Oryctolagus cuniculus: one gene and its partners. The protein of the gene in region 1 interacts with the protein of each later gene in a pairwise test. Links are inferred from orthologs where the notes say so. Each region holds a gene or a part of one and is shown on either strand. Other genes may lie near its edges.

What was found.
Region 2: the proteins of AKAP7 (region 1) and SPA17 interact in a two-hybrid assay, tested with the Homo sapiens proteins (3 studies listed by BioGRID and IntAct). The two-hybrid records come from large-scale screens. The link is inferred for Oryctolagus cuniculus from reciprocal best matches to the Homo sapiens genes AKAP7 and SPA17.
Region 3: the proteins of AKAP7 (region 1) and CEP76 interact in a two-hybrid assay, tested with the Homo sapiens proteins (3 studies listed by BioGRID). The two-hybrid records come from large-scale screens. The link is inferred for Oryctolagus cuniculus from reciprocal best matches to the Homo sapiens genes AKAP7 and CEP76.

The regions. Positions count from the first base shown.
Region 1 is NC_091436.1:37,950,845-37,954,937, forward strand, and holds the start of AKAP7 (A-kinase anchoring protein 7), read right to left. Parts: upstream 2,801-4,093; 5' UTR 1-2,800. UniProt on the Homo sapiens protein: Probably targets cAMP-dependent protein kinase (PKA) to the cellular membrane or cytoskeletal structures.
Region 2 is NC_091432.1:117,919,450-117,923,451, forward strand, and holds the start of SPA17 (sperm surface protein Sp17), read left to right. Parts: upstream 1-1,202; 5' UTR 1,203-1,331; intron 1,332-3,488; 5' UTR 3,489-3,520; coding exon 3,521-3,674; intron 3,675-4,002. Other genes in the region: SIAE (sialate O-acetylesterase), read right to left, coding at 1,004-1,070. UniProt on the Homo sapiens protein: Sperm surface zona pellucida binding protein. Helps to bind spermatozoa to the zona pellucida with high affinity. Might function in binding zona pellucida and carbohydrates.
Region 3 is NC_091441.1:69,558,229-69,562,368, reverse strand, and holds the start of CEP76 (centrosomal protein of 76 kDa), read left to right. Parts: upstream 1-1,340; 5' UTR 1,341-1,428; coding exon 1,429-1,650; intron 1,651-1,930; coding exon 1,931-2,006; intron 2,007-2,582; coding exon 2,583-2,837; intron 2,838-4,140. UniProt on the Homo sapiens protein: Centrosomal protein involved in regulation of centriole duplication. Required to limit centriole duplication to once per cell cycle by preventing centriole reduplication.

The DNA of each region.
Region 1 (4,093 bases):
GGATCTTACAGACCAAAGCTGGGGTTGAGGGGTGCGTGTCCAGCTCTTGTGCCAGTGTCGTTGATCTGCCCTGCTGATACTGTGTTCTTTTGGGAATTTTGATGATGGCCAAGTGGCCTCCAGTCAGTCAGGTGATAGATAATTCTTGCTCAGGGCCTGGGCTACTTGGAAAAACAACCCCAGGCAATACTGAACATTGAAACACTCCATCTATAGAAGAGATAAATGAGCTCAGGAGTCTTGTGACCAGAGACCCTTTAGGGCTGGCTGCACCACTCCCTCTTTTGAGTCAGTTAATTTTAGCAAGGGGTTGATTTGCAAGCAAAAGCAGTGCAGGGAAAGTCAAGCTAAGGGAGAGAAACCCAGAGACTTGGGGCAGTAGGAGGTGGTAGTATCCAGCGTCTGCCTTAAAGGTACTGTATAGGTTTCAAAAGTTTTAAATCTAGGTACTCTAACATTACCCTAACAAGTTGAGCATTTCCTTTCCAAAGCTGTTGCATTTATGATCTGGTAGAGAAGTACAGTGGGTTTCCATATATTTATTCAGTGCCTGAGCTCTATGCTAGGAGGGTGTGGGTAAGATAGATGTGTTTGTTAAGGAGCTGATCACCTAATTGTGGAGGGAAAACAGCATGTGTAAATGCAACAAGTGATTTTTTAAAACCTGGAAAAGTAATCCACATAGATACTGAAGAGAAACAGGGACAGGAGCTATGGAATAGTAGGCTAAGCTTCCACCTGCAGGGCCAGCATCCCAAGTGGGCACCTGTTTGTGTCCCAGCTGTCCCCCTTTCAATCCAGCTCTCTATTAATGGCCTGGGAAAGCAATGGAAGATGGCCCAAGTGCTCAGGCCTCTGCACCCATCTGGGAGACCCAGAAGAAGCTCCAGGCTCCTGGCTTTGGATTGGCCCAGCTCCAGCCATTGCAGCCATGTGGGGAGTGAGTCAGTGGATGGAAGACCCTTCTGTCTCTCCCTCTCTCTGTAACACTACCTCTCAAACAAATAAATAAAATTAAAAAAAAAAAAAAAGAAAAAGGATTGAAGAGAAACAGAGAATGCCTTCCAAAGCATGCCATTTTGGCATTAGGATTATTTTGAGCTGAAGGCAGTTGAGGAACCTATCACACAGAAACACCCCCCCCCCCCCGCCTTTCTGCCTAAAAGCAAGGCATAAATTTCCTTTTGTAAAGGTGACATGTTTCCATTTTTAAAGATGTGCTTCTCTACCATATCAGAAAAGAGAACTCTTACTGCGTAACAAACCTTAATAAACAAACCTTATTTACCACACAATTCCTAGTCACCTTCCCCTGGAAACCCAAACCTCTATTATTTTTGATTAAAAAAAAAATGTTTGTTTGTTTGAAAAGCAGTTACAGAGAGAAGGTAAGACACAGAGAGCAGGCTCTTGGCCCTGGTCTCCGAGATAGATGGCAGGAGCCCATGTTCTTAGGCCATCATCCTCTGCCTTCCCAGGCACATTAGCAGGAAGCCAGATTAGAAGCAGAGCAACCAGTGCTTGAACCCAGCTTTGCAAGCTGTGGCTTAACCCACTATGCCACAACACAGACTTTGTAAAGCCCAGGACTCACTGCCTGTTGGTTTTTCACTTCTGTCAAGTTCTCATGTGCATGTGTAATAAAGTTTTTCTTCTGCTGATTAACTATCTTTTGCCAGCTTTAATCCATGTACCTCAGCTACTGAACTAAGGGGAAAGGGATTTCTCCTTTCCTCCAGTGTGTACCAAGATAACTGTGAAATTTTCATTCTCAACCTGAGCACAGGTGGCAGCCCAGAGGCCACCTATTGTCTACCACCGGTATTAGGAATATAGTCTTAGTCAACAGCTCTCATGTGGAGGAACGTTTGAACTGCCTAATATCTGAAGAAGAGGGTGTTCACAGAGCTTCTTTGAGAAACAACTGGAGTAGAAGAAATAAAAGGTGAACTGTGGGCATCTACTGTGCCAAAAGCAAAGACAAATGATGACCATCAAAAAGACAGGAACTAGGGGTAGGCCTTGTGGCACAGAGGGTTAAGTCACTTCTTGGGGACCATATCCCATATCGGAGTCCCTGAGATCGAGTCCCATCTCTGCGTTTCAACCAAGCATGCCTGCTGCTAATACACCTGGGAGGCAGTAGATGATAGCTTGAGTAGTTGGGCCCCTGCCACTCATGTGGGCAAACTGATGGAGTTCCTGGCCCAACCCTAGCTATTGCAAGCATTTGGGGAATGAACCAGTGGATAGGATCTCTTTCTACCCACCCCCCAACCTTGTCACTCTTTCAAATAAATAACATGAGACAATAACATTTATTTAAAAATAAACATTTAAAAATAAACACAGGAACTGGGTTGAAACAGCTTTCCTTGAGCAAATAAGAAACAATTTGTTATCAAAAAGAGAACAGCAGCTGTAATTACTATAACACATTGAATACATAAAATCCATGAATCCGCTGGCGCTGCGGCTCAACAGGCTAATCCTCCGCCTTGCGGCGCCAGCACACCGGGTTCTAGTCCCGGTCGGGGCGCCAGATTCTGTCCCGGTTGCCCCTCTTCCAGGCCAGCTCTCTGCTATGGCCAGGGAGTGCGGTGGAGGATGGCCCAAGTATTGGGCCCTGCACCCCATGGGAGACCATTAGAAGCACCTGGCTCCTGCCATCGGATCAGTGCGGTGTGCCGGCCAAGCGCACTGGCCGCGGCGGCCATTGGAGGGTGAACCAACGGCAAAGGAAGACCTTTCTCTCTGTCTCTCTCTCTCACTGTCCACTCTGCCTGTCAAAAAAAAAAAAAAAAAAAAATCCATGAATCCATGATACTCCAAAAATGGGAAACAAAAACGAAGGGGTCTCCTTCACAGGTGACAGTGATACTGCTCCTTTGTCTCCTTACTCTGAGAATTAGTAATTAAAAGGGGAAACTATATTTGCCATCACTTTTTAGGAGAAACAATAGTGGGAGAAATTTTTTATAGAACATCCAATAATAAATATAGAAGACTTGAAAGTATTAGAAAATTACCATTTTGCCACCAGAAGTGATAACTGATTCTTGTGAGAATCTTTAATATTTGCCAGAAAATTATATGAGAGGTTAATGGGGAACAAGATATTTCTAGGCCAACACCACGGCTCAATGGGCTAATCCTCCGCCTGCGGCGCCGGCACACGGAATTCTAGTCCTGGTCGGGGCAACGGATTCTGTTGAATCTGTTGAATCCGGTTGCCCCTCTTCCAGGCCAGCTCTCTGCTGTGGCCCGGGAGGGCAGTGGAGGATGGCCCAAGTACTTAGTCCCTGCACCCCATGAGAGACCAGGAGAAGCAACCTGGCTCCTGCCTTCGGATCAGCACAGTGCGCCGGCCAAGCGCACTGGCCGCGGCGGCCATTGGAGGGTGAACCAACTGCAAAGGAAGACCTTTCTCTCTGTCTCTCTCTCTCACTGTCCACTCTGCCTGTCCAAAAAAAAAAAAAAAAAGATATTTCTAAGTTGTCAAAATCTGAGCCCACAAAGCACTTGCTAGTTGCTGAAGAGAGAACAAATTTAGTTGTCGGCACCCTTTCATGTGTCATCAAGCTTAATATCCAAAGGCTATGGCATTACCTGCAAAATGAGCCGAAGCTATCAAGGCTTTAAACCTAACTTCCAGTTTACCAGCAACACAGAGGCAAGAGGAGCAAGTGAAATGACACAAGGAAAGAACCAGATGAACCCATAGTGAGGGATATTGTTAATGATGATTGCCTCGGGCTTTTCAAAAAGTCAGTGGGAGGGTCTGGCATTAGGTGGAGTGGTTAAGTCGCAGCTTGGGTCACCTATATCCTGTATCAGAGTGCCTGGTTCCAGTTCTAGCTTCGCTGCTTCCTATCCAGCTTCCTGATAATGTGTACCGGAGAGGCAGCAAATGACTCACATACTGGGGTCTCTGCTATCCATGTGGGAAACCCACATTGGTTTCTGGGCTCCTGGCTTTGGCTTAGCCCAGCCCTAGCTGTTGCAGGCATTTAAGGAATGAACCAGCAGGTAGATCTTTGTCTTTCTGTCTCTCTATTTCTCTGTGTCTCTCAGCCTTTTGACTGAAATAAAA
Region 2 (4,002 bases), on another chromosome or scaffold:
AGCCTTCGACAGAGCCTTCATAAAACCATGGCTCTACCCTCCTCTATACCTTCTCCCAGATCAAAGGTCCCTGGCAAGAAGACAATGCTACTAGTTTGCACTTCCGTTAAACTCTGAGAAAACATTTATGGGCTGCAGTCCACCTGATTCAAGGTAGCTTTCCAGTTCTTAGGTGGAACAGTAGCCATGTTTCTGCAACTGCTCTCTCCCACTTCAACCTTAATTTCCTTACAGAGATCTTTGGCAGGCAAAGGGGGGGGGGGGGTGTTATCCAAAAAAGATCCCTCCTTAAGATCGGACTTTGCATTAGCACACACATTTCACCTACTGGTTTCTCCACCCTGACCCAGTCAGTGTCCAGTCTAGGGCATTTAAACGATAGGTTCTGACCTGCACAAGAGCCATTGTTGAGTGACCCTCCTGGCCACTTCCAGGCATTCTTTTCCCTCCACCTGTATCTAAGCTGCACCCGAAATCAAAGCTGAGCCTGAAATACTCTGAGCTAGCGAGGGGGCTGTATTTCTTAGCCCTAATAACCACTTAAACTAGTAAAACTTGATTTCCCCAAGGAATCCAGCCTGAAGCAAACCCTCCCCAAGGGCTCCACTGAGGGGGCAGCTGCTGAAACGTTTCGGATGACTCAGACACCTGTTTCCAAATAGTATCTAAGTGGCTTCGCCCCCTTCCCTGAGCTCCGGCTGCAGGCACTGCAGGCACTCGAAGACCCTGGGCACATCTGGACCTCCCCCGCTCAAAGAAACTCGACTCTCGGGCCCCACCAGCAGCCTGGGCGAGAGGAAGGGAGGAGAGAAAGCAGTCGGGCTGAGGCTCGGGGCCGGCAGGCTGCTGCGGGCCAGGCCTGGGTCGGCACCGCCGGCTCGGAGCTGGGGTTCCTTCTCCGACCTTGAAAGGGGCGACGCGGACCGGAACCCGCAGCAGACGCGGCGGCTGGGAGCCCGCGCAGGCTGAGGGGCAGCGGTGCGGCCTCGCCGGACCGCCTCACCTGCACTTCTGTCGGCCCACAGGATTACTGACAGCACCAGCGCAAGGACTGATCCAGGCGAGACCATGTTTGCGACGAACCGCCGCCAACACGCGGGACTCAGAAAGGGCGCCCAAGCTGGGGGAGGAGCCACGTGGGCAGAGGGCGTGGCCCGGGCGGGGCGCGGCCTGCCGACTCCACCCCTCCCAGGACCGTCCCTCTGGCGGCGGCGAAAAGCCTGCCGCTTCCCGTCCCGGCCGCCGTAGTTTTTTTTTTTTTTTCCCTTTTAAAAAAAAAACGGTTACCCAGCAACGAGAAAAAACAACCGGAATCCTGGGTATCAGCTCGGAGAGAAAGAAGAGGTGAGGCGGTTTCCCCCACTTCCTCTGCAGTGCCGAGGCCTCGCCTTTTCCCTTCGTCTGCCGTATTCTTCCACTATCCCCGATTCGTCCCGGAAACCCTGGAGCAAACAGCTTGGGAGCGAAGGCAGCCTGTTCTGCGAGGGTCTGAAATCCAGGGCCTCAAGACCCTGCCCCAACGGCTGTCCGGCGGGCCTCCCACTCCCCAGCGCTTCCTCGGGGTCTCACCCGGCCTTGTACAGCCCCAGAAAGATTCCGCACTTCTGTTGCGTTTAAAAAAAAAAGAAAAGACAAGAAAAAGAGAAAGCCCTCCGCGGGTGGGCCTCGTTAAATCGTCCAGTTTCCCAGTCTCAGCCCCTCGCCACGGGCCCGCCGTTTTCCGGCCTTGACACACCCGGCAGGTCCCGCGTGCGCCCCTCATACCGGTGGCCTACCCCACTGCTTGGCACCTGCCCCTAGTGTAGCCCTTGAATTGCAACACGGGTCACGACAAAACTAGGAAAACAATCTCAGAGGTTTAGGGACTGGGGTTTGAAAATCATGACCTACCATCTCATTCCCCTCCCCACCCCGGCTTCCTCATTCCAGAGTTCAAAGGTAAAGGTACTCGGAGGCCGTGTGGATCAGGCTTTAGATGAGTCAGCGGAGGGAAAGTTGAAGTGTGAGGCTTCCAGTTAGACAAGTTAGAATTAAATAGAATCAGGACTCGTTCCTAATTTATTTTTTTTATTATTTTTTTTATTTGATGGGTGGAGTTACAGACAGCGAGAGAGACAGAGAGAGAGGTCTTCCAACCACTGGTTCACTCCCCAGTTGGCCGCAACGGCCAGAGCTGTGCTGATCTGGAGCCAGGACCCAGGAGCTTCTTCCCCGTCTCCCATGCGGGTGCAGGGCCCCAAGCACTTGGGCCATCCTCCAGTGCTATCCCAGGCCATAGCAGAGAACTGGATTGGAAGTGGAGCAGCCAGGACTAGAACCGGCACCCATACGGGATGCCAGCACTGCTGGTGGAGGATTAACCTAGTGCACCACAGTTTTTTTTTAAGAGCCTAAACTGGGTCTTCTTAGCAACTGATAATGAGTTCAACATTCATTTAACAATGGTTCTCTCTAAATGGCTGTGGAATAGCATAAATTACCGTTTTAAGAAGAGAAAGAGAGGGCCTGTGCTGTGGCACTGTAGGTTAATCCCCGCCTAAGGTGCTGGCATCCCAATATGGGCGCCAGTTCTAGTCCTGGCTGCTCCTCCTCCAATCCAGCTCTCTGCTATGGCCTGGGAAAGCAGTGGAGGATGACCCAAGTGCTTGGGCCCCGCACCCCTCATGGGGGACCCGGAAGAGGCTCCTGGCTTCAGATCCAGCTCTGGCCTTGGGGGAATGAGCCAGCAGATGGAAGACTTTCTCTCTGTCTCTGACTCTCTTTGTAACTCTGCCTCTTAAAAGAAATAAAATCTTAAAAAAAAAAAAGAAGAAGAAGAAGAACAGAAAAAGAGGGATAGTGCGGTGACTGTTCCTCGCCACGACTGGAGAATTAGGCAGGCTACCCGCAGCTTGCCTTGACCGAGGAGGGGAAGTGCGCCACCCGCCACTCAGCCTTCCCCAAACCCGGGGGACAATCAGGCACGGTGTGGAGCCCAGTCGAAGCAGGGTCTCACTTTATTGTAAAAGGGAGGTGTATTTAATAGCTGAGGTACAGAGCGGATGGCACAGAGTAGATGAGTGGATATGGGCAAGGGGTGGGGTGATGTGATGCAAAAGAGTCTTAGCCACTCCTATTATACCACCTTAATGATCCTTAGGCAAAAGCGCCCTGGGGCTAGGGTGTTTGCCACCAGGGATTTGAAACTTAAAGACAGGATTTCAAATTCGAGGCAGGCTCAGGAAGTTTCCTCTAGGCCTCCCCCACAGGATAGAAAACATGCTTAGTGTCACAGTGAAAATCTGTATTTTTCAAAATAATTTGGCTAATTGGGTTTGTAATATTCTAAATCATAATACAGAACAGAGGGTTCTTTGTAAGAGATGGATGACTTGGGTTGTGTTGGGATAAAAGAACGGAAGTCCAGAAATTCTGGGTTTCAGAAATCATTGTCATGGTTGTGATTACATAGTTAAAATCAGACACATTGAAAGTGCTCTCTAATCTCTAGGTACCACATAGGCAAGTTCTTGCCAAGGAGATGTCGATTCCATTTTCCAACACCCACTATCGAATTCCACAAGGATTTGGGAATCTTCTTGAAGGGCTGACACGTGAGATTCTGAGGGAGCAACCGGACAACATTCCAGCTTTTGCAGCAGCATATTTTGAGAACCTTCTAGAGAAAAGAGAGAGTAAGCTATTATCCAATAGGCATTTTTACACTTGAATTTAGCCAAAAGGCCGAGAAGCAATCAATAGGCATTTTTAAATAAGAGACTCAGCATTTGGTTATGGTAAAATTTGCTTAATGTCATCTCCATTCTACAGAGAGCTATTAGGAGGCAGGTAGCTTCAAATAATTTGAAGCTTGCTCTTTGAACTAATTGTGTGCCCCTTGAATGAGTTCCATGTAATTTGAACGTCATCAGTTTACTGCCAAGACCTTCACTGTATGTCTTGTGGACTCACAGGGTGGAAGGGAACCACAAAAGATCATAGCATCTTGCTCTCTGCTTTGCA
Region 3 (4,140 bases), on another chromosome or scaffold:
GGGCTCTGGCTTGGGCCATCCCGGGCGCCAGCGCGGAGCGCGGGGCAGCTAAAGCTTCGGGTTTGAAGCCAGAGCAGCCTGGTAGCGGCGGTGAAAGGGAAGAAGGCGAGAGGGAGTGCTCATGAGACTGGGAGGCGATGGGACCGTTTGGGTGGTAGGGGGCAGCCGAGCGGTCTTCCAAAGTCACGTCGGATGTACTTTCAGAGCCGAGGTGGCTTTAGGGCGAGACGTGGGCTTCCTCGATCCGAGAGCCAGCAGCTCCAGCCAGCACAGCCCAGTAACGGAGGGGACGTGGCGGAAGGACTTGGTAGGGGCGCAGTCGCCTCAGGCCGGGGCTTTTGCGGCCCTCGCCGAGGGCGACGCGTGAAGTAACAGAAGTCGCGGTGCGTGCGCGCCGCACTGGCCGCCGGTCAGGGCGTCCGGGGTCTTGTCCGGGAGGACGGAGGACCCCAGCGCCTGAAGACGTTAGCTCCGACCTGCACAGCTGCTGCGATCCGCCTGTTCCTGCGATTCCATCCAGCATTCCCTATGGAAAGACTGATTTGGTTTGAGCGGGATTCCGGGGGGGGGAAGCGGTCACAAAAGTGGGCAGGCGGTAGACGTCATTTCTAGCCTTTGTCTCCCAGAGTTGCATCTCGTGGAAGCTGGCGGTGATTCTCACTCAGCTGTGGTAATGATGGCCCGTTCGCGGCTAGCTCTAGAGCCCTGACTCGAGGAGTAATGGCGTTGTCGTGCGGGTTTTGTGCGCAGATGGATGTCCACGGCAGGATACGGGAAATCCTCGCCGAGACCATACGCGAGGAGTTAGCGCCCGACCAGCAACAGTTATCAACGGAAGATTTGATCAAAGCCCTTCGACGGCGAGGAATCATTGATGATGTGATGAAAGAACTGAATTTTGTTACGGTGAGTACTCTGGGGTCTGTAAAGAACATGCCTGGGCGTAGTTACACTGTTGACAGGGTCCTTGGTGGGAGTTTCTCCTTTGAGCGAAACCACTGGAAGGCCCTCCTGTCTACCAGTGTCCTTATTTGCCTTGTAAGTTAGCTCTACCCTTGGGTAGCACACAAATAGTGTGAGTCAGCGAGATTTGGGTTATGTAGACTGTCTTCCTCACTCTGCAGTGACAAGGATTCTCTCTTGTAATTCTCTAGGTCTTTTAATTATGAATATACATATTTCAGTCACATTAGTTCACCATAAAACTGTTCTTTTTTCACTAAGATTGCCCTACAGTTGCTTTAGGTTAAGCTTATTTTTAAAATAAACACTCTTTGGGACTCCGATGAACAAATTATAAATGTCCTCAAGAAAATAATTGACTGCACAAAGACTCTCCAGTCTTTACCTACAAATAGGTCAGTAGTGAGATGCTGGCCTCTCAAGGCACCATTAGGAAGTAGGCCCTCTTTTGAAAATGAGGCAATAATGAAAAACTGTGACCTCAATACCTGGATAATATGTGAAAATTGGACAGACTTCATAATACATCAGGGAATAAGTATTTTAATACAGCATCCTTTTTTGGTTTTTGAGGTTTATGAACCCATTTGTTATAAAAATTGGCCTAATAACAGCTTTTGCTGTGTGAATGTCACTTCTTTATTAAAATCAGTAACTGTTGGAATTGTAAGCCAAGTGTTACATCAGGTATAGGGAAAGTTCAAGCTTGTTTAAGGTTTTCAGAATTGCTTTTTACATTCTGTGGATGGCATTCCTTGAAGATAATTTTTACACCTTAGTATTAGACATGAATAGTGACCAGTTGCATTATCTTTCATTTTCAGTATTTTGATTACACTATGAAAAGGGCTTTTTTGGGGGGTGGGAAGAGGGCCCTTATCCTGTCACCTTTCTGTTTGCTGTTTAGTGTCATGATTGGCATTTTCTTAATTTTTTTTTTTTCAATTTTTTTTTTTGGCCTTTCCAGGACAATGTTGATCAAGAACTCCCTTCCTCTCCAAAACAACCTGTTAGTTTTGATAGACAGTCAACATTAAAAAAAAGTATGTATCTGTTTTTTAATAATAATTCTGTTGTATAATGAATATTGATGTGCTGTAGTGTTTGGTATTTGATAGAAAACATTTCTGGTTTTTTCCCCAAATATTTAAATTTTTGTGGTTGGCCTAAAACTTAATTTTGTTTCACATGAAGTATATCAGAAAATTTAATGTGCAGTATAGTAGAAGCAAAAGCCAGCACACTGGTTTCTCATATTTTAATAATATACTTTATTTAAGATTGTACAGCCTTGTTATTTTAATGATAATTACCTTACAAATACATTTGCTTAATTTGTAGTTGCCTGAGCTGGTTTATGGAGGTGAAGGGAGATTTAATAAGCAGCTAATAAAAAGCAAACTATAGTAGACTTTGGGCCACTCTAGCTGGGAGAAAGTGGACAGAATGTAAACTCCGAAAAGAATGTCAGATTATGTATCTTTTCTCCCCAGGGTGCAAATGATTCTGGTATATAGTAAATTTGTTACTCTTTTTCTTCTTTTTTTAGTCTTTGATGTTATTTCTTTCAAGTTGTTGTATCCTAATGTCTTGATCACATTCCTTAAATTATTTGGCAGTTTCCTCATGTATATTGCTACACTTTACAGCTAATATTGATCCAACACGGAGGTATCTTTACCTTCAGGTTTTGGGTGGAAAAGCTTTCTTGGAACATCTTCAAGAACCTGAGCCTTTACCAGGACAAGTTTGTTCAACTTTTACTTTATGCTTACATTATCGAAACCAACGTTTTCGTTCTAAACCTGTTCCATGTGCCTGTGAACCTGATTTTCATGATGGCTTTTTACTTGAAGTACACAGAGAAAACTTAGGTAAGGAACGTAATAGTCACTTAATGGAGTGAGCTTTTATTAGGTTTTGTTGCAGAGTTGCTGTAACAACTTCTGCTGTTGGGAGATTTACAGATTGAGTCATTTGGCCTAGTCTTTTTATTTTTCCGCCACTCTTATTTTAACGACTTCTGTGCACCTTCTGCTTTATTCTGTGTTTGCTAATTAATTATCCCTAAACGATTATTACTTTACTCTTAATTTTGGTTCTTTACTAATAATCCTGTGAGATGCCTGTCATGTGCATGGTACTATGCTAGCAGGTGCTGAGGACATGAGAGAATGAGACATGATCCTTCTTGTATATGAAGGATGACTAGATTTGTGATGTTGTTATATTTCAAAGGTTTTTGTTTGTTTTATTTTGTTTTAAATTTTACTGGAGAGTTAGAAAGAAAGCCATAATAGTAAAGAGCTCCCATCTGCTAGCGGGTTTACTTCCCAAATACCTGAAATGGAGCGGGGGCGTTGATGTGGCTACAGCCAAGAGCTGGGAACCCATCTAACATGAGTGGCAGGAACCCAACTTTTCCTTTCTTTCTTTTTTTAAATTTATTTATTTACTTGAAAGTCAGAGTTACACAGAGAGAGGAGAGGCAGAGAGAGAAAGAGAGAGAGAGAGGTCTTCCATTTGCTGGTTCACTGCCCAGTTGGCCACAAAGGCTGGAGTTGTTCCAATCTGAAGCCAGGAGCCAGGAGCTTCCTCCAGGTCTCCCACGCGGGCACAGGGGCCCAAAGACTTGGGCCATCTTCTACTGCTTTCCCAGGCCATAGCAGAGAGCTGGATCGGAAGTGGAGCAGCCGGGACTCAAACTGGTGCCCTTAGGGGACGCTGGCACTGCAGCTTGGCCTGGACCAGCCCTGGCTATTGCAGGCATTTGGGGCAGGAAACCAGAGGATGGAAGATTCTCTCCCCTTCTCCCTTTCTTTCTCTTTCTCTCTCTCTTTAAAAGTACTTATTTAAAATATATGTTACTACAAAAAAAAGCCATCAAATATGTTAAGATTAATTCTTAAACTGTCCTTATTCATTTATCTTTAGAAATTATCACTGTATTATCAACACAAAACTGAAAGATTTAAGCTCACAGTTTAGCAATTCACCCCATAAATTACCTTTTTTAAAAAATACCTTGTTAGAAACACAGTGTAAAACAATTACAAGAATCATATATTATAATTCTTTTTTATTTGAAAGGCAGAGAGAGAGAAAGAGAAAGAAAGGGAGAGGGGGAGAGAATCTTCCATCCTCTGGTTTCCTGCCCCAAATGCCTGCAATAGCCAG